3 linked regions of the Rhinolophus ferrumequinum genome follow. The protein of the gene in region 1 purifies or fractionates together with the protein of each later gene. This does not show direct contact. Links are inferred from orthologs where the notes say so. Each region holds a gene or a part of one and is shown on either strand. Other genes may lie near its edges.

Region 1 (7,332 bases):
GAATCCAATGAGGAAAGAAAAAATGTATTTTTAAGTTTTTAAAAGCTTGGTTTAGGGAATATGAGCTTTTGGTTTGGCCTTCCTCCACTCTTACCCCCCAAGGATATTTAAAATATTTTTAAAGGGCGAGAAATATTTTGACAGAATTTATTCTCATTCCACTTTTATCCCTAACCTCCCAAATTAGATGCACAGAACTAAAAAGAGAATGAATTACACTGAAATACTTATTTTAAAAAACAAATTTGTGATATAATATTTGTGCTTCTTTAATACATTAAATAACAATATTTACAGGCAGGTCTAATTATGGCAACTTCAAAGTAGTGATTAATGTAAACAGTATTTCAAACTATCAAAACAACGACTATATGAAATTATCCTTCCTCACTCCCCCCACAATGATCTTAAAATTGAGAAGGATTTTATAATTGTCCCTAAGACTTAATTCTGCAGGATCACTCATTCACTACCAATTCACTTGCAATCTTTCCTGGTCCCCACTTTATTCACTCATCTAATCATTCATTCAATCAATACTACAAAGAACAAACAGTGATATAAATACGAATTATTGGATCAGCTCTCAAGGAGCTTGCAATCTAGTCTAGGCACATACACTAATAAATACAATAAAAGAGAGATGATACCAAAGGTACATGCAAATTGTTTGATATAAGGCAGGGAGGGCTGCACAGCACATATAAATTGACAGCCCTTTGATGGGCACAAAGGTTGGTAAGAAGGACACTCCTACAAAAAGCAGGGAGGCTGAAAATAGAACAGCAGCCTGTTCAGAGAGTCCCTGGCAGCTAACTGTACAAGGCCAGAGACAGACTACAAAGGAATGTGATAAGAGACGAAGCTGCAAAGACAGGGCCTAAAAAAGCCAACTCAGAAGTCAGGATTTTAGCCTCTTTGGGAGCTCAGTCCTCCTCTTTCAAAAAGGCCGCCACACACAACTAAAAAACATCCTGTAACAAAGGAATTCTTCATTTTTTGTGTGTGCCATGGACTTTTCTGGCAGACTGCTGAAGCTTACTGATCTGTTCTCCAAATTTTTTTATATACATAAAATACACAGGATTCCAAATAATTTTTATAGACATTCTGAAACTCTTACGGTAGTGAAGCCTAAGCGTAGCTGCGCATGTGCCTTTCTTCTGGAGAGCACAGTAAGGAAGGAGTAAGAAAAGAGTAACTTTACATGGAGAAACCTGACGAACATTACACTTCAGCCAGGCGATCAAGGTTAACAACACTGATGTCACAGTGATAGTTTACACTTTGACAGGTGATGAAAACGGCACTTGAACTCTCTCGTCTTCCTTGCAAAAACACATCTAACTATAAGAAAAACATCAGACAAATCCCAACTGGAGGTCATTCCACAAAATATCTGACTAGAACTCTTCAAAATGGTTGGGGTTATCAAAAAAAAAGCAAACTCTGAGGAATGTCACAATCAAGGGGACCAAAGGAAGCATGTCTACTAAAGGCAATCTGGTGTCCTGGATAAGATCCTGGCAAAGAAAAGGAACACTGGGGAAAACTGAGGAAATCTGAATAAAGTATGGGTTTTGGTTAAAATAATCTATTACCATAGGTGTAACTGTTGTAACAAATGTACCATACTAATGCAGGATATTAACAATAGGGGAAACCAGGTGCAGGGTATACAGGAACCCTCTGCACTGTATTTGTAATAATTCTGTAAATTTAGGGTTGTTCCAAAATAAATTTTTTTAAAAAATTAAGATGCACAGAACTAGAAAGAAAATGAATTACACTGAAATACTTATTTTAAAAAACAAATTTGAGATGTAATATTTGGGCTTCTTTAACACAATAAATAATATTTACAGGCAGGTTTAATTATGGTAGTTTCAAACTAGTGATTAAAGTAAACAGTATTTCAAGCTATCTGCAACAACTGTAACATATTAAATTATCTGAAATTGCTACAGTGACAGTCAAATGTGCTACTAACACTTCTGCAGTTTGTGGTGCATAGTCAAAACTGAAGAAATGCTAAATCTCATTTAAAGGTTACTAAAGATGTAATTGTTTTCCTATCCAAGTTCAAAGACCATTGAACTCTACCCATGGACTGCAGGTTAAGAATCATCTTCTAAAGGCAAATAAAAACTAAATACTAACACTAAATGGACACTGTGTTGCAGGACCTCTGATAGTCACTACACATAATTCATCTCATTAAACCCTCACAACAAACCCAGTCCACAGACAAGGCAGCTTAGGGAAGTTGTACATGATCATGTGACCAAAAATTCAAATTCTATAGCTTGATGCAAAATGGAGTCTGACAAAGCACCTCTAAAAACAATTTCCAGCCCCTAGTTGTGGAATTTTGAGGAACACTACTGATTATACTGTAGTTCACCAATGCTCCTACTAAACAACTTTCTGTTTAGGCTAAATCAGGCTGAAACTGAAGTACGTATAACACTTCCTAGAGCTCTACTTGTACTAATAAACAGCAGCAGCTAACCAAAAGGAAAAAGGTAAACACAGAAGCTCCCCACCCTTGTACAAATCTAAAAAGTATATTTTTGTCTCCATTTACCAACTCTGACACACCCAGTTCATTAGTATCCTTCTAAGGTGTGTGTATGCGCGCACGCGCACATGCACACCTATGTAGGTTTTTAAAGCAAATATAGCAACATGTGAGATATCCATAGCATATTTTATTGAGTCTATGGCAGTTTCTTAGTTTATCCAACTGAGTATTACTAATTCTATTTTCTTAGAACTAGAGGTGCTGATACAATGATCTATTTTCAAATGAATGTGTAACTGGCAGACACTTAAAGCAGACTTTCTAAAAATAGTAAAAGTTTTCAATAATTCATTTATCTCCATCAAAATTTCTTAGTTTATGTATGCTACTCTATGAAATCTATATCCAAATTATGATTTCCACCCCCACAACATGCCATTCTATCAGTGAACTGTAACTAAACAGATCCGGATTTGAATCCTCAGTCTCTCTCTTAGCAGATGTGTCATCTTTGACAAATTACTGTAAACCATTTTATGCTTGCATTTCAAGCCTAGGTTTTATATTTCAGTCATCATTGGCAATTGATGATAATAAAAGATTCTTATTATGTAAGGAATGAAACAAAGAATGCTTGTAGAGCACTGAGCAAATGTCAAACATTATTCATGAAATATTTTTAATTTTGAGTTTTACTTTTAAGTTGTAAATTTTCCGTTAGCAATGTTCACAGAGGGTCATCACTGAAATATTTTTTCTGTTAGTTGTAGCTGATTCTTTAAATAATGAGAGATTTGCTCTAGAGAATGATTTTATCTTTCTTTGGAAGAAGCCAAAATCATCTCCATTTAAGGGCACATCAGCAGCTGCTGCACAACACATTTTAGTTACCCATAAGAAAGTGAAGCAGGCTGAGTTCATGTCTAATTATTGTCTTGCTAGAAGCTAACATTATGAAGCTGCAATGTCAAAGCACCTGCAGCAAGAGCAACTCAATACAACTTGTTTGGCTTAAACCAGTATTCTCATTCTATGAAAGTTCCTATTACTGTAACTATTTTAGTTCTTCAACATTATCACCATGAGAATACAATCATTTCTAAGCCCAAAGATGCACAAGTATTTAAAAAGAGCTTTCTACCACCCCAAACAGTTTTTTCATCTCTCTCATATACTTTTAAAAGTTAAAAATGAGGCACAAAGTGTTAATGACCTTTCCAAACCTAAAGTGAGATAAATGACATTCTAAAAAGTTTGGGTGTGGTAAGACTATGGCTAACCAATCACATCTGCAGAATTCCTCTGTGACATCATGAGACCTCCCTAGAACACTTTTTCTCCTCTCCCAACTTCAATTGTTCCCATAAATCTGGTAACAGAGAAAACTTTCCAGCTAAACGCCGATAAAGACTTCATACCACTCACAACACTCTATACATTGTGATCGTCACAACAGCTAAGGTAAGAAATAGATTTCACTGATTTGGGAAATTCTTAGTTTCTGTAATTCAAACTTACTGAACTCTTTAAAAAGAATTAATCATATATTGTAAATTATAGCTCAAAGTTAGACAATAAAATGTCTGATATGACAAAAAGCTTAATTTCTAAATAAATGCTTATAATTCAGTGACTAAGAATAAGACTTAGCTTTGAAATGAAAAGGGTTGCATTCATCTTTGATCTTGGTTATTGGTTTTTTCATTTTAATTTTCACGTTCATTTTGCTTTTCAAAGTGAATTTCTGCCAATTAAAATACCTTTCAAATTTGGTTGGTGATAGTGGTGATTTGATTTCTTCAGGCAAAAACAATGGCTTCATTTTGTTATTTGTTATTCTGCTGAGAAACAGGGTGGGCTGTCTACATCTGGAATACTATGAACAGTCCTGTGATTGTACAACATGCACATCATTGGCATAACTTTTCCAATATTATTATTATGATTCCTTACAGGGAATATTAACAAAGTAGAATTGAAGAATATATAATCAAAACTATTTAAAATGCTTTTGAAGACTTTTTTCCTTTCTATAAAGTCCAGTCAACTTTAACAAACACTGCTAAAAAGAAATCCAAGCTTTTAATAAATTGAGTTACTTACATTAATTTCAATACCATATCATAAATAACAAGTTTGAAAATTCCAAAACACTTGTCAAGAACACATGCAAAATTCTTTCTAAATGCACAGAATACAATGTGGCACTTTAAAAATAGATCTTATTTTAGCAGCACAAACATTCCTAAATATCCCATTTGAATGAATTTGATAAAATGAGTGTATATTCTACCTAGCAATGAAAATACTAAGTTACAATCTTCAGTTTCCTCTCTCACATTTAGAAGGGGGGGGGGAGGAAAAAAGAAAAATAACTTCTGGTTGAATTCTACTCTACTTTTTATGTTATAAATCTCAATTTACTATATGAAATGTGTCTTCATTCTTAAATCTCATAGTATAAAGAATATTACATCGATTTTATTTCATTCTTTTCATTTTCATATATATAGGTCAAAATAAAATTCATCTCTAAAATTCTGAATTCCTATGACAAATGTTAACTCTACTGCTAGTTATAGAAAGAACTCTGTAATTCCACAAGCAGCTTTCCTTAAGGCATGCAAAAACATTCCTGGTTTTTGCCTACCAATGAGGCACCCTCACTGCCTCTCAATATCTTTACATTCATAAAATGTTTTTCCTTTGATATTACAGGGAAGTCACTCAGTGTAGGTAGGTGTCTTATATGCATATTTATTTATTTTTACTCATATACCTATCAAATTACATTCTCACATTTCAACTGTTTGTGAGTCTTTATAGTACCAGACTATCACCACATCACCTATTGCTCCAAAAAATTGACAATATCTAGAAAGAGCAGAAATTCTATTAAAGATATCCTTAGATAATGTGTCCAGAAAAACAAAAATTAGTTACGGTGACTGTTGTTCAAATTTCAAACATTGTGTTAGTGTCAGATATTTTGTACCAACAAGTTCATCTCAAACACAGGGTGAAATTTAAGTATTGTCTTTGTTTATAAAGACGTGTGGTTTAAAATTAAGTGCTAAAAAGGAGTGTCAGATGAAATAAAATGGAAGAAATGTGCAAGATGTTTAAATTATGAAAACTGATTAAATTTTAAAGACACGTGAAAGAGCTAGAGTACCTTGCTTTATTAAAAGAAGTCACATCACTAGCATTTCCTAAGACTCAAATATCAAAAATTATTTTAATAGTATTTTAGTAGACATAAAGAAAAGTAATATTCCAGAAAAAAATTGCATTTGGTTACATACTTATCCATACTGTTTCTTAATTTCACTAATTAGAGATAGAAGAATACTGGTATAGATAAAACAGTTCAAAGAAAGAATGAAAATTTTAATTTACTAAATGTATTAAGCAATATTATTAATTATGTAATAAATTATGTAACATATTAAAATTTTAAGTAAAACTTAAATGTAAAGATTAGATTACCTCTCTAAGCAAGGCTGTTTATTTATTAACAATCCTAGAAATATAAAGTCAATTGAAACTGCTTTCTTTTTCCTTGAACAATTTTCTAAATGCACTAGTGTATATAAAAACTTCACTTGATCCTTTTAGCTCCCGATATGTTTGACACCACATCTCTGTTTTACAATTTAGAAAACAGATGTGAAAACGGTGAGTTGCCCAAGGTCACAGATGGGAAATGGTGGAACCTTGGCAGGGGCCAAGATTTTCTGACTCTAAACCACATGTACATCCCACCCACGGGTCAACATGGCTTAAAAATAAAACATGACATTGGCAAAGCAAAATAAATTGAAAGTCCTCAAATACTGTTAATGGTACTCTAAAAGGCAAAGTTAGAGGACACAAACTTCTATTTTATTTAGAACCTCTCCATTTCATTTCAAGTTAATTTATGTATAAGGCATTATGTCCTTAATAGCCTATGAGTATACTACTATCCTGTTTATTTTCAAAGCCAGGGATGTAAGCATGTTATAGATGATCTTAGTTATTAAGTAATACACCCTGGAAGGTAAAACTGAAAACAATTACCAAGACTTTAAAAAAATAACATGATCAATCAATCAAATTAAAGTTCCTTTTTAATGTGTTTCACTGTTAAACTACTCAATGCTTTTCATCTATTTAGCCTTGATTACCTAAAATCCAGGTTAATTTCTCCTCAAAACTTTTCACAAAGCCACATTTTCACACTTCATTCCAGTATTATATTAAATCTTTTGGCTTTCCTCAATTTCCTTTCTCACCTCCTCACATTCTACCATTTAAAATATTCAACCCCATATGTTCTGAAATGCTTGAACAGAGGAATCTTGTTTTTATGCGGTGGAAATCACTAACCTTCATCTCAACTGTGAATTAACAGTGCTGATCATACCAGCCAAGGAGCAAACCTAAAGGTTAGAAATCTGGGAAATAATCCTTCTAAATTACAGTGACCTAAATCAGAAAATATGTACTCTCTTTGAACATTTCTAGAAATAGTACATCAATGTTCTCACTCTACATAATTCTGAAGCATTTAGTACCAAATAAACACATGAAAATGAGGCCTAAGTATACCCATCTCCACCCCAGTATACTTGTAGGTAACTGAGGACCTCTAGTGCTTTTCAAAATGTACTCCACCTTCAGGTCTTTAAAAAACAACAAAAGCCAATTCACTCACATTAGTGGGGGTATATTTCACTGGCATTCATTTTTCCTTAAAAGTTTCCCTTCACTCCCGCCCCAGCTTATCTTCCCTAAAACAAGAATCTGAAGTCTCAGCTACTACA
Region 2 (7,565 bases), on another chromosome or scaffold:
CAAAAACGGTTTAGGGGGGTTGGGAGAGAAGAAAAGAGAAAGAAAATCAGAAAGCAGGGGACAGGAAAAGTAGAGGGTGGTGAGGTAATGGAAAGAAGAAACTCAAACTAGCATTTATTGAGCACCTACTATACACCAGGCACCTTCACACTCATCATCTTTTTATATTTCACCACAACTCTGAGGGACAGGATTATTAGCCCCATTTTATGGATGAGGAAACCGAGCCTCAGACAGATGAAGGAACTTGCCCAGAGTTCTACAGCCAGCAAGTGACAGTGGGAACACCAGCTCCCACCTGTTGCCCACACTCCGTCCCATTTACAAACTGAGCAATAGGACCAGAGAACAAGGCAAGCCCAAGGGAAGTGATGGGGGGTGGGGGGAGGGGGCCTCATGTTCAGTGTCCGGACATGAAGGAACCAAGAGGGGTGGAAGCTAACCTGCCAAACCCCCACGATGGCATTGGCAATGAGAATCAAGAGGATGACAAAGGGTTCAACAAACGCAGTGACGGTCTCCTCACCTTCCTCAAACCAGGCCAGCACCTGGGAAGCAGGAGAAGGGAGAATCACAGGTGAGAGCGGCCCTTAAACAGGTAAAGAAGGCCAATGGAGGTGAGAACTCGTGCAGGAGCAAAGAAAGGGCCAGGCCTCACCGGGCGCGCAGCCGCGCGTCGGTCTGCCGGTCTAACACTCCAGGATGGGCAGCACCGCCAGGCGGGCACAGACCTGCACCCCTCAGGGATTACCGAGGAATGCTTTCAGGTTTCCCTGACAGAGCTGCACGCTTGTAAACAAAGCTCAGGGGGCACCCGGGCCAACTACCCACACAGCCACATCCATCCCAGGGGAGCCACAACTCCATAGGAAAAAACCTGTGGTCCGCGCAGGCAGGCGGGCGGCTGGCCCACCCACAGCCCTCCCCCCACAGCCCGAGGCAGGGAAGCTCCGATTTCAGGAGGGAGCAGGAGGGGGGCGGGATAGTGTTACGGGGCCTCCTGTACACACCCCACCCCACCCCAGCTGTTGCAAAGGCAACAGCCACAGGCAAATGTCAAGGAGCAAATCTGAGAAGGGAGAAGTGAGGCCCTGCCAGCTGGTGCTCAGGGGCCCACAGGCCTACATGAAGGAGACCAGGGGACAGGGACACTGTTTTGCCTCCGGAGGCTTGTTTTCCAGCAGGAGTAAGATGTTAAGGAAGAAACTCCACATGGCAGGATCGACTGATTGCTGGCACGGTGGGCGCCCAAGGGAGCCCCAGGCAAGGACACGTGGCAGGACCCTGAGGAGCGGGCGGGGGCAGCGCTGAGGCTGGAGGGGCCCAGGGAGGGCGGGGAAGGGGAGAGTCAGGCCAGTCTGGGGAGGAAAGGGATCCCAGGATTTTCAGCCCTGTTGGGGGGCAGAGAAGCAAGGCCAGCGACAAGTGAGGGGTCTGCGCCTCCAGGAGCCTTTGGAGTCACCCTCGCACCAGCAGCTTTCCCGCCTCTAGGAGGGTCTTTGCCTCGACCAATCAGCGCCAGGAGGGCGGGGCAGCGGCGCCAGGAGGCTCGGGGATTGGTGGAGAGGCGCAGCCTGCACCTCGGGCACCCAGGGAGTAGTGGCGCCCCCGAGTGGCCGCAGCGACGGAGCTGGGGAGCCCTTCGCTCAAGGGGGTAACCCGAGCCTTCGGAGCCCTGGAAGCTTCGGGGGGTGGCTTAGCTTCAGTGTTTTGGCTGAGAACACCGTTAAAGCTTAAAATAAAACCTGCCTGCGGGGTGTGGGGAGGACAGAGGGCGCACATCAGCAACCCACCCCCCACCCCGGTCAGTTCTGGTCTGCAGGATAGGATGCCGAGGGCTTGGACGAGGGGGGCCTCGGATTTGGAGCCCTCCCCACCCTCGGCACCCTCTCCAGATCCCCGCACCCGCAGCCAGCCCCCAGATGTTCCACTACACTCACAAAGGAAATGCAGGCGGCCAGGAGAAGGATTCGCACCAGGAGGTCTTCAAACTGTTCTACCACCAACTCCCACAGGGATTTCCCTGGGGGGAGAGGCAAGGGGAGGGCGTCCCCGGGGTTAAGGTCTAGCGGATGGACAGCAGGGACTCCAGGTGCAAGCTGGGGGCCAGGGACTGAGGGCGCCCTGATTTCCAGCCCCGAGCAGGATGGTTGTGGGGCGATGGGCAGACCACTTGGTAGTGAGAGAGGGAGCTTGCCAGGACGCCACCAACGGGCTCCTCCAAGTGGCGGGCAGTTGTTCAAGGGCTGGATGCCCAAGGAGAAAGTGCCTGGAAACTTCTGCCCCCAGCCCGGCTCAAACCCTTGGGGAGGGATATTTGCCCCAGGAGTGAATAGGGAGAGGCAGGGAAAAGGGAGTGGAGCCCAGAGGGGAGGGGGGTCATTTATGACAGCTCAGGGATTTCGGTAACTTACCTTCCTCAGCAGGGAGCTCTACCCAGGGAAAAAGAAGAAAAGGACATGTTCATTTGGGGTTCTGTCTGATGCCCCCCCACACACACACCCAGGATTTTGTGGCTAAGGTAAGAGAATCAGGCCATCGAAAGGGCATCTGAGGTTCTCCAAGGTCATCCTATAAAACCTCCCAAAACTCTGGGTCTCAGGGACCCCGTTTTCTCCGTATTCTCTTCCCTATCCTCTTACGGCTGCAGTCGTTGGACCCAGCTCTTCCCTACGATACCCCAGAGGGGGAGACTGCGTGTGAGTATGCGTGTGCGCTGCGCGTGTGCGGGAGGGCATTACCAGCCTCCGAGCCACACTTACCATTGGGGCCATATTTCTCCAGATGCCGCTTAACTTGGTCCGGGGTAAGGCCTGTAGTCTCGCTCACCCCAAAATAGGCCAAACATTCTTCTGTGCTCTTGGAGTGTGCACCCTCCATTGTGCTCCCTTCCTGGGGGCCAGGGGGCCGTGTGTTTCTTCTAGGGGGGTTCTCACGTGTGGGGGGCCTTCCTCAGTGTGTCCACCTGCCTGTCTGTCGGGGCTTCTTCTTTTTTTCTCTCCTGCCCCCCCCCAGGTTTTTCTTCCTTTCACGAAGCTCTGACCCCCGTCCCACTTGTAGCAGCCGGCCACCCCCCAGCCCCCAGCTGGTCCCTTATGAGGGAGTAGGGGGGGCCAGGCTCCCCCCTCCCCCAGATCAGGGATTGGCTGGCTGAGACGCCAGCAGGAGGGGTCAGAAGAGAGAGATATTTCTGCTGACAGAGGGGGAACAGTGGGGCTGCAGCCTGAGATGTCACTCATGAGGGAAGCTAAGATGGCCCCAGCCCCAGGGAAGGGGGGCAGAGAGACTTCACTTTCTGTCTTCTGCTACGGACCCCTCCCCCAATTGCCTCAGCTTCCTCAGTTGCACTGAATTTCCGGTTCCAAACTCATCCCCCCAGTTCTCCCCATAAGCCCACTTCTCCTCTCAGGCCTTCCCCGGGCACGTCCCTCGCACCCCACCCCCCACCCCTGCGTCCCATCTCGTCCACTCTGAACCTGCCAGCCTCCTTCTTCACCTAGTTTGTTGAAAGGGCAGCAGAGCTATTCCAACCTTCGGGGGATGGAAGAGGGGGAGAACATCCTTTGGGGGCCAAAGGAAGTGGCTCTGGAGGGATGAGGGGAAGAGGGAAGGGAGGGGGTCAAGGGGACAGGGTAAAGATGGTAACCCTACCCTAGGGAGGGGTTGCGGCAGCCATCAACAGGGGATTTAGTGTCCAGGCCCGACGAGCAAAGCCAGGACTGCCTGTCTCTCCCCTAAATTCCCCCCCCCACATCGCTCTAACTCAGCCTCTGGGAACATAACCTCCAGCCCCCCCTATCTCGAACAGTGAATCCCACCCCCCGCAAGAAAATGGGATACCCAGGCAGCAAGGTAACCCAAGAGGCTACAGAATGTGCTGATGGCAGAGGGGGAGGGATAAACATTTCAGGATGGGGGTGGGGGTCACCCCAAGTCATGGAAGAAGGGTCGCCTCCGTCCCATACTGTGCTCTCTGTAACCTAAGGGGTTTCCCTGGCAGACCCCACATGGATGACGCTCTGCACTCCACCTGGCCCTGAAGTATCTGTGCTCAAGGGGAGTGAGGACCAGAGCTGTATGTCCAGGCCCTGGGCACACCCCGTGGGAAGCAGCAGGAGGGAAGGGGCATCCAGGAAAGGGTGCTGGGGAAGCTGGATAAAGCAGAGGCTCCAGGCCAAAGGCGTGGGGAGAGGGCAGACTGATGGGGACATGTCTGGGGGAAATAAGGACAGACCAGAGCTGGGGGAGCAGAGAGAGAGCTGCCAGGGTCAGAAGGAAGTCTGAGGAGCAGTGGGGAAAAGGGACAGCAGGGAGCTGGCATGTGGCAGCCAGGTGGGTGGGGGCCCAGGGCTGGGTGCAAAGCCACAAGTTGTCACTGAGCGGCTGGCCTTGGTGTCAGCTTCCTCGGAGAAGCAGCTGCTCCGAGCCCCCCACCCCCACCCCTGCTCTGGGATGGGGGCATCTTTTGGTTATTACCAGGGCAGCTGCTGGAGGAGCAGGAGCAGAGGGTAGCCTGGGGTGTGGGTGGGGGAGGGAAGGATGGCAGAGAGAGGAGAGACGTTCAGTGGAGCAGTGGTGAAAGGTCAGTGAGGGGAAAAGCAGCCTCGCCACCCTGACCTCAAGTCCTTCCTCAGTTTCCTGAAATGGTGAGGATTACAGGCCACTGACTGACTGGGTCTCAAGGCTGCTTCCCTCGGCCGCCCAGCTGCTACGCAGACAGTGGCACAGGGGGCAGCGGGCAAAGGCAAGGGAAACCCGACTTCTGAGGCTAGCATGGGGGGAGGGCATTTAAGGATTTGGCCCCCCCACTCATCCCTCTCTCCTCCTGGATTTCGGGGTGAGCTGAGGACACAGACAGGGTACTCCCTCCCTCCTCCTCAGGGTTCCAACAAAACCTGCGCTGAAGCAGAGTCCTGCTGTGACCTGCCGTGGGGGCTCAGACAACGGCGTGAGTCTCCATCCACCTGGCCAGGCACCTCCACCTGGCCAGCACCCCCCAGCTCTTAGGCCCCAGTCGGGCTCCGCATCTGCCAAGCCTTTTGGCCGGCTGGCTTCTCCCTGACAGCACCTGGAGGAGTGACGGGAGCAGGAATGCCCAAACATGGAGAAGGGGGAGAAGGCTGGACCGGTCACAGGTTCAAGGGAGCGGAGCGCATGGAGCTGCGGAAAGGAGGCCGGCGTTGCAGGACGCTGCTGGCAACAGGGACCTTAAGGTTAGTCCTTTCTACCTCCATCAACTTCCCAGAGCGGGGACCTGACGCCAAAGGGGGAAAGCCAAGAGCCGCGGAAGGATCACCCTCAGGGAGGCTGGGGGTGTGAACTGCCCCGGAGGGGGCCGAGCAGGGAGGCCCTTGCTCGTGGATCCCCGCCACGCCGCGCCGCGCCACGCCACGCCACGGGGGTCTCCAGGCCCAGAGTTGGAAGGTGTTTTTCCCCTCCTATCTGAAGGCTGAAGCTGCGAGTAGGTCTGTGAGAGCCACGGACTGAGCCCAGCCAATCCCTGACCAGTGCTGAACTTCAGCTGAACCACCACAGGCTGGGAGAGAAGCAGTCTCTTAGGCTCCTCCGGCCAAGACATGCAAATCTTGGGGTGTGGGGGGCCCTTGAACCCCTCCCCCACCCATCTTCAGAAGGCGAGTCCCAGAGGGCCGGCGGGGTTTAGGGGAAGAGGGAGCCCACACACAAGTTGCCGCTAGATTAGGAGAATCAGGCCCTGCTTACGCTCGGGCACGCAGCCTTCAGGGGCCATCTCGTTTTGAGACTATCGCACCCAGCGCCCCAAAGCATCTCCACCTTTGCAAAGCCAATTCTATCCCCCCCCCCCCCCCCCCCCCCGTCTCCTGAGGCCAAGGTTTGGGGGAGTCCCAGGGATTAGATAAAACGGGGAGAGCCAGCAGGCTTCCCCAGGCGAGCCCACAGCCTGAGTGGCCTGTGAGCCCAGCTGTCTCCTGTCCATCTCCCCACAGGACACGAGGCCCAGAATAGCAAGGTCACAGGCATGGGTAGGGCCCAGAGGTGGGGGCAGAGGCTGGGGGGGGGGCGTGGAAGTGGAGGCTCCACGCTGACTGGGAGGGAAATGGAGGCAGAATGGTAAGAGGCAGAGGTAGGTGGACAGAGGTGGGGAGGGGAGGGGGCCACGTAAAGCAGGTGGGAGTCTGGGGAACCTGGCCCCTCCTTGTGGGCGCCCATTACCCGCAGAGCCGAGAAGCCCAGGGGCGCCCTCCACTGGAGGAGGGCAGAGCCGCAATTCAGAGAGCAGGGCCTGGGTTAAACGGAGGGGCTGGGGGGAAACGGAGGAGCAGCAGACGTTGCAACCGCAAATACCCACAGGCCAGGCACGTCATGAGTGACAAGGTCGGGCAGGGATGAGGCAGATGCAGCACGAGGCTGCCTTCTGATTTTCAAGAGAAGCCAATCATCTGAACTTTTATGTGAAATTCCATTAGCCAGGCCATCTAGGAGGGCGGACAATTCAGATCGCAAACTCATCCTAGAAAAAGTGCTACGTACCTCATTGCTGAATATCACTATGGTCACCTTCGAAGGACTCCCCTTGGGAAGCTGTGCACCGACGCCAGCGCCTAGTCCACCCTTCAAAGCCGTTTTTGAACTCTTTTTCTGGAATGGCCATCAGAGCTGTCGTCGTATTACCCTTGATGTCCTGAATGTCATCAAAATGTCGTTTCAATGTTTCCTTTATCTCCGGGTAAAGACAGAAGTCATTGGGGGCCAGATCAGGTGAGTAGGGAGGGTGTTCCAATACAGTTATTTGTTTCCTGGCTAAAAACTCCCTCACAGACAGTACCGTGTGAGCTGGTGCATTGTCGTGATGCAAGAGCCATGAATTGTTGGCGAAAAACTCAGGTCCTCTAACTTTGTCACACAGCCTTTTCAGCACTTCCAAATAGTAAACGTGGTTCACTGTTTGTCCAGCTGGTACAAATTCATAATGAACAATCCCTCTGATATCAAAACAAGGTCAGCAACGTCGTTGCCCCAAGTTCAGGAACTTAACCTTCAGACCTTGTGAGTCACGAGCTCCATCCCAGATGAAACTTCCCACTCTCCAGATGAAGATACTGAGGCTGCAGTGGTTACACCTTGCCTCCGGCTCCCCAGAGTGGCTCTGAGGAGGGTGGCCAGCCTGCCCTTGGGCCCCTCTGCCGCCAGACTCTGTGGCTGCCACATTCAATGTCTCCCCACACAGCCCCGTGCCCCCAGGCCCACCCCCATGACCTCTCTCTGCCTGTTTTCTCCCTGGGGTAGGAAGCCTTAACTGAAGAACTCAGAGCAGGAGGGGTCCTGGGAGATTGAGTCCCGTTACGAGAACGTGGCTGGAGACCCCAGACAGCGCTGGGTGGCTCTGCTCTTACCCACAGGACAGCCCACAGAGGAGCCGTGGGCTGAAAGCCCAGGACCGGGGCCCCTGCTGACCCCCCTGGCCCGGCCCCCACTGCAAACACAGGCCACAGCCACCAGGATGGAACTGAGATAAACCCTTTTATTTAGTTAAGCTTCTCCATTTTGTTTAAAACAACAACAACAACCATCTTAATTTTAACTGA
Region 3 (8,461 bases), on another chromosome or scaffold:
TAACTTCTAAGAGGTCCCTGATGACCGTATTGAACCCCAGTATTTCAACTACCAGAGCTGACAGTTTCAGAATTACGTAGCCAGCTTAAATATAAATATTATACTAGCCCAAATATGTAATTTGTTTTGCCCCACGACAATATGTTGAAACTTATTAATCAAACAGATCTACTCCTTTCTCTTAATTGGTTAAAGCAGCAGTCATTTACTGGCGAGGAGGTTGTGGGGTTAAATTAATTCAGAACAGACATGTAAGAGGTATCGAGTGATTAATTCAGGATGTTGAATGTTTGATACATCACTCTATATTTTATTCAATGAATATCACTGAAAAGATTCATAAGGATTGATTAATAGTTACACATCCCTTGGCTAAAATGGCAGATTCTCATGGCAGTATCTGTGTATATAATTACTCCAGAAAAAGTTCACCTCTTCCCAATTTTTTTCTCACCTAAAAAAATGTCCACTGCTTCCTTTATTCAGTTCTCAAAATAGCCCTCTATGGTATGGTTGTCAAAGACTGAGGTAGATCCCTGGTTGCATACATACAAACATAAAAACGAGACCTTGAAGCTGTGTAGGTTTTGTGAAGCCTGAAAAACGTATTGCACTGGGTGAATTTCGCTTCCAATCATGTTTTTATAAGAATAAAATATTGTAATTTAAGAACAAAAGGCATCTCATGCTGTTAGGATTAGGAACATCTGTGTCCTATTCATGACCATTTTTAGGAAAACTACCAAGAAGTCCATTGCCCAAGAAAAAAAGGCAATAAAAAATATTGAACAGAAAAAAAATGTTAATAACCTAGAAATATCCTCACCAACCCCCATCACCTTTCTTCTCCAGTAGTTCTTTGCATTTCACCAGTTTCTTAGCAACCATACAGGACTCAAGCGGGCAAGTATATACAGAAGAAGAAAAAACACAATTTTTTTTCTTCCTCTTTTAAGATCTAGAACCAACTGTACTGAACCTTGTTCTCTTAACCTAGGAGTCACTCAAGACAGGGGTCCAATTTAGATAAATATACCACCCTAAAGGTCAGTGACCAAATTTGGTCAACAGTGGTGCCATCACTGCCGTCATCATTCTTGTCACTGTCAGAAACTGTCACCTTGCCATTACTAGGACAGGAGAGCAACTGGAATATTCCTTTTGTAAGTTCTATTTACAGACTACAAAGAGCCCAACATCATCTTAGTATGATCTTACACAATTGAAGAACCCGAAACAGAAAAGGCCTTCCAATAAAGAACTTTTTGTTATTAAAAACTGATAAACCACAAGAATTTGTAAGACCCTGCCACATTCAGGAATAATTTCTAACTGCACTGTAAATATCAGGCAGCCATTTATTTTCTGTTCACGAATGGCTTCAAGTGTTTTGTTTGTAATTTTAAAATATCTAGGTTTGGAAAAAAAAAATGGAGACACAGCTTAAACCTCCAAATATAATGTTCTCACCCGATAGACATTATTTATTTGGAGAGAAAATGAATTGCTTCATACTTACAAAAGATATACATGCTGCCAGCAATAAAATTCTAACTAGTAAGTCTTCAAACTGCTCAATCACAAGTTCCAGCAAGGTTTTTCCTATTAGAAACAAACATATTTGTTGTAAATGTCATATTAACTTCAGCACACAAAGGGAGGGGGTGGAGGTGGAGAATGGGACATTTTAAGATTACTTACCTTCTTCAGCCGGTAACTCTGTAGAATGTAGAAATTCGCCAAGCAACCGTGTCAAGAGGGGGGAAAAAACATTTTAGCATTCTGTATTTCTAAAAAAGAATTGCTAAAACTTATCAATCTTTGAAAGACGTACCTAGATATATATACATTCTATCATTTTTAATGGAAACCATACTAAAATGGTACCCCCCAAAAATATGCAATACTTGTAACCAATGGCCTTAGGTCTACCCCAAAGCGTAAAATCTCATTGCCATCTAAACAGGGATCCCGAAACAAGGAGTCATTTCAGCTATGTCATCACTTCTGCCAGATGTGTAACTTTGGGTAGTGCAAGAACGGTCAGAGGCATTCTCAACTACAACGACGCCTCATAAACAGGCTGGGACGAGAAAATGTCTCGCAGGACTCAACCCAGCTTCAGGAGACTAGTTCCTCCCTCCACCAGGGCCGGCTGCTGCTGGTGACAGTCACGGAGCTGGCCGCGTGCGGGGAAGGTCAAGGTCTCGAGCCGCGAGGACATCGAGAGCAGGCGCAGACCCGATCCGGAGCCCCCCGCATGCTGCCCCTTTCCCGCCTGGCCGACGCGCGGGCTCGACCCGCCGCCTGCAGCCCTCGGCGGGCTCGGAGCCGAGACCCACGAGGTGGGGCCCGGTCAGCCATCTTCCCTGGCTCTCGGCCCCGCGCCGGGCCGCGCGGGGCCCCTGCAGCCCCGGCGCCGGGCACCTACCGTTGGAGCCCCATCTCTCCTTGAGCTTCTTGACCTGATCCAGGCTCAGCCCCGTGCTCTCGTTGACACCGAAGTGGCCCAGCACCTCCTCTACGGTCTTTGTGTGCGCGTTCTCCATGGCTGCGGGGGCCTCGCCTCCCGTCCCCGCGGCCTCCAAGCCTCCGCCTCGCACTCGGACAGCGGGCTCGTGCCACCTCCGGCGCCCAGGCGCGGACTGGCTTCTCCCCCTCCTCCTCCGGCTGCTTCCGCCTCGCGGGGCGCTGAATCACCCCGCGCCCCCTCCCGCAGACAACCGCTCCTCTCGCTGCCTAGCCCTCGCCGGCGCCCACCCCGGGCTCAGCTGGGCGGTGGGAGCTCGCGACTCTCCTCGTCAGAAGGGAGGGTCTCCTTCGCCCTCAACCGCCCGCCCAGAGTGCAGGCCGCGGCCCCTTAGCCCCCTCCCCGCTCTCCTGAGGTGATTCGCGGCCCCGCCCGGACCAGAGGAGGGGGCGCCCGGCCGACCCCTGAGGGCGGAACGAAGGGCTGCAAGCCGGTGGGGTGGTGCACAGCGCGCTCGCCCAGTTCCCTCAGCTCTACTCCCCCGACAGCGGCGGAGGAAACTGCGGCGAAAGAGAAGGAGGTGGCGTCGGGGACGGCTCCGCGGCGACTGCTCTAATAGCATTTATCCGTCGCTGCCTCCCCTCTCGCCGCCGCCGCGGCATGTGGACGCCGCTCATTGGCCGAGAGGGCCCAGCGCGGCGCGGGCGGCGCGGCCCCGCCCCCTCCCCGGCTCCCTCCCTCCCGCGCGGCTCGCGCCCACGCTGCCACGCAGGCCCCGCCCCTCCCGCGCACCGCCCCCCGGAACCCGGATCGAGGCTGCTGTGAGCGGTGCCTGCACAGTGTGCCCTGTGGTCCGCGGGCTGACGGGGCGCGAGCTCCGGCCCGCTCCTCCGCTGGTGCGGCCTTAGATCCCCAGCCGCCCAAAGAACTAGAATCCAGAAGGGTGGGAGCCTCAAGGTGGGCTCCCTGCACTCGCTGCCCGGAGGGAACTGCCTGCCCTTCAGGGTCGGCCTCAGGCCGGGGTGCATGGCTGGGAAGGCGAGGCCAAGGAACCTGGGAATTTGGTCCGCACAGGGCTCCCGAAGCGCGCTCTGGTTGGTGTCCTTGGCTCGCCCCCTCGCTCTCAATCTCCAGGGCCGCACTCTGCATCCTAATCTGTCTGCTTCGGAGCCCCGCCTCAGTAACCAAGGGGAGGAATTCCGCAGTTCACTTCCCACAAGGCCAAAATCCCTCATCTGTAGCCTCAGGAACACCACATCCCACACCCACAGCTGAGGGCTCCACGGCACGCAGACATCAGCCTTTCCCCAGCGGGTTCTGGGCCCTGACTGAGTTAATCCCACTCTGGGGAAAAGAAGGAAGGTTTTGTTTTGTTTTGTTTTGGAGGTTTTCTTTTTAATAGCCCACACGGCCTTCGATACATGCCTGCGTAGAAGACACAGGTTATGCTACTGTACCTGCTGTGTAGCAGTGAGATTTGTACTAGAAGGTGCTTCTCTTGGGTATTAAGATCAAGGCTATTTTCTAGACTCCCCTTTCCCCAATAGGCGAAAAAGGGTCTTTAATCCAAGACCTATTCTTAATCCACAGATGATTTGCCCCTGAGATCTGTACAAAACCTAGGTAACAGCAAGATAAAGGGAATTTCCCAATGTAAAGAAGTTAGACTATTTAACAGGGCTTGAACTCATGAACAAAAAGTGAACATATTCGCATCACAAAGAACAGCTTTCTTAAGGAAGTGTGTCGCAGAATGAAGCAGTTAGTCCACTTTTGTGTTTGGCAATACTGTACCATCCACATGAGCCAAAGCAGAACAAAAATCACCTCAGTTGTCCCAGATGGCTCAGCCTCAGGACTTGAGATAAATTCCTTCAAGAGATGCAAATTACAGTGCATTACCCAGATGAAAAAATCAGGCACGTCATTTCATTATTTCCAAGGAGTGGAGGCTGGCATGCAGTTTTGATTGATACTTGGAAAAGGGCCAACAAAACCCTACACGAAACAAACAAACAAACAGAAGTCTAGTGTATGGCAATGCATTAAGAGAAGCACGGTGGAAACTGGTTAGGTCACAGGATTGGAGCCTCCTCCAGGAGGGACCGGGACTGTATGGTGGGGGTGTGGTAATGGAGGGCTGATGGTTCCTTTCCCTCTGAGACCAGGTCTGCACCATTTCTTACCAGTTCTTCTGCCTCATCTCATCTCTTTCAGCAACAATGGAAGAACTATAGGCAGAGGGGATCATTAACCTTTCTCATCCCAGAAATTACCTTGGGTATTTGAGTTTGGGTCTCTGTTCCAGGGCTGGGTCTCTGCTTAGTGTTATAAGCACCTCTGGTGTGATTATGAGCTTCCTGAGGGGTTCCCTACCTCGGCTTTTGTACTGAATGTGCTTCCCCAGATCTTTGAGTGCCTCGTTTCATCTTTTTCAGATCTCAGCTTGCATGTCACCTCAGAGATGTCTTGGCTGACAACGTGGCTACCCGCCCCAGTCACCCTCCCTGTCATGTTTTTGTTTTCATTGCTTCACAGCACTTATCTCTGATATTGTATTTTTGTTTAGCTGTTTACTGCCTGTCTCTCCCTACTGGGATATAAGCTTCATGAGAACAGGGGCTTGTCTAGCTTGTCCATCCTCAGGACACAGTACAGTTCCCGTTATACACTCATCATTTATTGAACTCCTGTGTGAATGAAACAGTCCCACCATCCCTGACCTATCAGTGACTTGCAAAAGGCCTTGCCTTGGGAATGCCTCAGCAAATTTTTGCTGAACTTAAGTTCATTGGTTTCCAATTTGTGAAATCAACAGGAACTACTTGCCTCATGGGAATGGTTGTAAAGGTTGGATTTCAAACAAAAACAGAGTTAGGCAGCATTATAGGTTTCTCGGAGATAAGTAATGTAGGTTCACATTGCTCCTGTAACCACATTGTCATCACTCTTCTAGACTGTTCTTTGCCAGTCTTTTCTATACATTGGAAGTCGATATACTCCCTTTAACTGAAACTGTGATTTTTAGCTTGGCTTTGGCCCCTTCTACATCACGTGCCAATTATGCACTTGGTTCCTCAACCTGTTGGAGTCTCTGACACGTGTTGTTTCTAGGTTGCCAAAATTAAGCATAAACTCAGACTCCCACAGGCAGAAAGATCTAGTCATTCCTATGTAGAAATAAACCTATGCCCAGTTTATTTTATGAACTACCTATGCTTCTCGTGCAGGTTAAACAGTAAGAATGGGTTTTAGAAATACTTTCACCAAGGATTGCAGTTACAGTCTATTAATTGAGTACAGGGAGAGGAAAGAGAAGAGAAACTGTGATTCAGAAAGATGGATGATTTGATCAAAGAACCTGAAAGGAATTGATAAAGGAGGACGTTAGCTGGTAATAAGCAGGCGAGTTTAAAAAGCCTGGCAGACAGAAAAGGCCCAGTAGAAAGAGTGACTTTGTGAAAAAGGCCAGAGCCAACTTTCCAATCCTCTATAGCCCTCCTGTAAAGCGATGGAGATTGCAAAAGGCAGTCTGTTCCATATTTGGACAGCTCTGATCATGAAAGCAGTCTCATTCTGGGCTGCATCCACCTCCCACTAGCTTCTCCTATACATTGGTTCTTGTTCAGCCCTCTGGAACAATTCTGAATAAGTTTAATTCCTCCTCTGTGTGAGATCCTTTTAAGTATTTCAAGATATCTATTGCGCTTTATAAAAGTCTCCTCTCTCAGCTAAAAAGAACAGTGGTCCCTGAGCTGTTCCTCCTGTAGCAGGAGTCTGCAACCCCTCAGTATCCTCCTTGTCCAGTCCTGGAGACACCCAATATGGAACACAAAACTCTAGGCAGTCTCGCAGTGGAGTTATCACTGTCCACCTTTGTGCTGGATGCTTGCTCCTCACACCATTTATTTGTGTTAACAATCAACTCAACACTGAGTTCTGTATATATAAACTGCAGTCATGTGAAATCTTCCCATTGTGTCCTTGAACTGTTGAATTTTTTTTAACCCAGGCACTGAACTCTGACTATTGTGTTCATTTTGGCCCATCTTTGCCGTTTGTCGTGGTCTTTTGGAGTCTTCATCTTCAAGTGATGTTTTAGCTATATGTTCTGGTTTGGGTGACACACAAATTTGATAAGCATGACTTATGACTTCTATGTCTTTACCCAATAGAACTTCTAGACATTCATTCCAGATTAGAAAATAACCAATCACCTGGATTTAGTTGTTCAACTGCTGTACGAGTTGTGATCAGATAATACGGTGAATGTTTAAATAAAAAAATTATTACAGTAAAAGGCACATTGCCATCAATCCTCCTCAAAATACTCCCCCTCACTTTGAACATGGGATAAGTCATCATTCTTGCCACTTTCTGAAGCAGTTCTGGAAGTCCTCTTTTGTGAGTGCCTTGAGTTGAGCTGCCATCGTTGCCTCGATGTCCTGAATTGATTCAAAACGTTTACCTTTCACGGTCATTTTGACTTCGGGGAAGAGCCAGGAGTCGCATGGTGCCAGATCTGGTGAATAAGGTAGATGAGGACACATTGCAATGTTTTTATTTGATAGAAATTGCTGTACCAGAAGCGGTGTGTGACATGGAGACTTTTCTTTGTGATCACAAAATATGGTGAATGCTGTTGCCAAATACCATCCCACGGAAAGGCAGGGACCTTCAATACAGGAAGCGGTGCATTGAACCTTGGTAACTGTGTGTGACGAGTTTCAACTTGTTCAGTCTGTCAGATGTGAGCTATGGTTGTCAGAAGGTGTGTTTTAAAGTGTGCTGTAAATCATCCTCCATCATGACAACTCTCCGTCACACATCACTTCTGGTACGGCAATTTCTGTCAAATAAAAACATTATGGTGTGTCCTCATCCACCTCATTCACCGGTCTGGCACCATGTGACTTGTGGCTCTTCCCCAAAGTCAAAATGATTCAGGACATCGAGGCAGCCATAAAAGAGCAACTAAAAAGACTCTCACAAAAGAGGACTTCTAGAACCGCTTCAGAAAGTGGCAAGAATGATGGGCTAAGTGTGTTCGAAGCGAGGGGGAGCATTTTGAGGGGAATTAATGGCAATGTGTCTTTTACTGTAATAATTTTTTTCATTTAAATATTCACCGTATTTTTTGATCATATCTCATAAATCAACTTCACCATAGGTTCCAAAGTCAGGAAAGTGAAAATCTTATAAGGCACTCTGCCGCCTCCTTATCTCCCATAATACTTTATTATACAGCATTAGAACCGACCATTGCTTTGGTTGAGCACCTGATGCAGCCAGCTTAAGGATTATGTTACAAGAAAAATACATATTTATGTGCTAGATTCAGAACTGGCACAGTAAGGTGTTTATAATGATAGGCAGGTGGGAGCTAAGGCCATCCAACTTAATCACATCTGCCATCTCTTACTCTGGAACACATGCTTGTTGAGTGGGCAGAGTTGCCTGCACTGTTTAAATTCTTTGTTATGTAAATTAAAGTCTCTTAAGGTGATTATGGGATGTTAGTCCACTGCACTATTAACCAGCCCACATTTCTCTACTTGTCCATAAGAACTTTCAAGGACTCTCCACTGTGTTGCTAAAATCTAGGTACATTGTCTACAACAGGCTCCAAATCCATTCTAGTGATCTTTTCACAAAATGTGTCTAGTTTAGCATGGCTGGTGTTACTGAGCACATGCCAGAATCTAGTGACTACATTTTCTACATGCCCACAAACTATAATTTTAACTTCTGAGAATTTGCCAAACTTAACAGACTGTCTTTTCTAGATTTGCCTCCCTACCTCCATTAGTAAGCATTCTTTTGATGGCTCAGGGTCAAAAAGCCGACTGACTAGCTTATGCTTTTTAAAAAAGGACTTATTGGAACTAGAACAGCTTGATCCAGCTGCTCAAATGAAGTCACTGAGAATCTCTATCTCTGGGCTCTGCTCCTTACCTTAGCTTTTTTGCTCTCAGGCGGGCGCGGGCGCTC

What was found. The genes of interacting proteins can lie anywhere in the genome.
Region 2: the proteins of PLN (region 1) and ATP2A1 purify together in Homo sapiens (affinity purification with western blotting, with the first as the bait; 3 studies listed by BioGRID). This does not show direct contact. The link is inferred for Rhinolophus ferrumequinum from reciprocal best matches to the Homo sapiens genes PLN and ATP2A1.
Region 3: the proteins of PLN (region 1) and ATP2A2 purify together in Homo sapiens (affinity purification with western blotting; 4 studies listed by BioGRID). This does not show direct contact. The link is inferred for Rhinolophus ferrumequinum from reciprocal best matches to the Homo sapiens genes PLN and ATP2A2.

What each region holds. Positions count from the first base shown.
Region 1 is NC_046286.1:68,962,507-68,969,838, forward strand, and holds the start of PLN (cardiac phospholamban), read left to right. Parts: upstream 1-3,871; 5' UTR 3,872-3,985; intron 3,986-7,332. UniProt on the Homo sapiens protein: Reversibly inhibits the activity of ATP2A2/SERCA2 in cardiac sarcoplasmic reticulum by decreasing the apparent affinity of the ATPase for Ca(2+).
Region 2 is NW_022680357.1:1,255,433-1,262,997, reverse strand, and holds the start of ATP2A1 (sarcoplasmic/endoplasmic reticulum calcium ATPase 1), read right to left. Parts: upstream 3,088-7,565; 5' UTR 2,881-3,087; coding exon 2,763-2,880; intron 2,433-2,762; coding exon 2,415-2,432; intron 2,024-2,414; coding exon 1,941-2,023; intron 549-1,940; coding exon 444-548; intron 1-443. UniProt on the Homo sapiens protein: Key regulator of striated muscle performance by acting as the major Ca(2+) ATPase responsible for the reuptake of cytosolic Ca(2+) into the sarcoplasmic reticulum.
Region 3 is NC_046308.1:6,031,326-6,039,786, reverse strand, and holds the start of ATP2A2 (sarcoplasmic/endoplasmic reticulum calcium ATPase 2), read right to left. Parts: upstream 3,088-8,461; 5' UTR 2,550-3,087; coding exon 2,432-2,549; intron 1,720-2,431; coding exon 1,702-1,719; intron 1,603-1,701; coding exon 1,520-1,602; intron 1-1,519.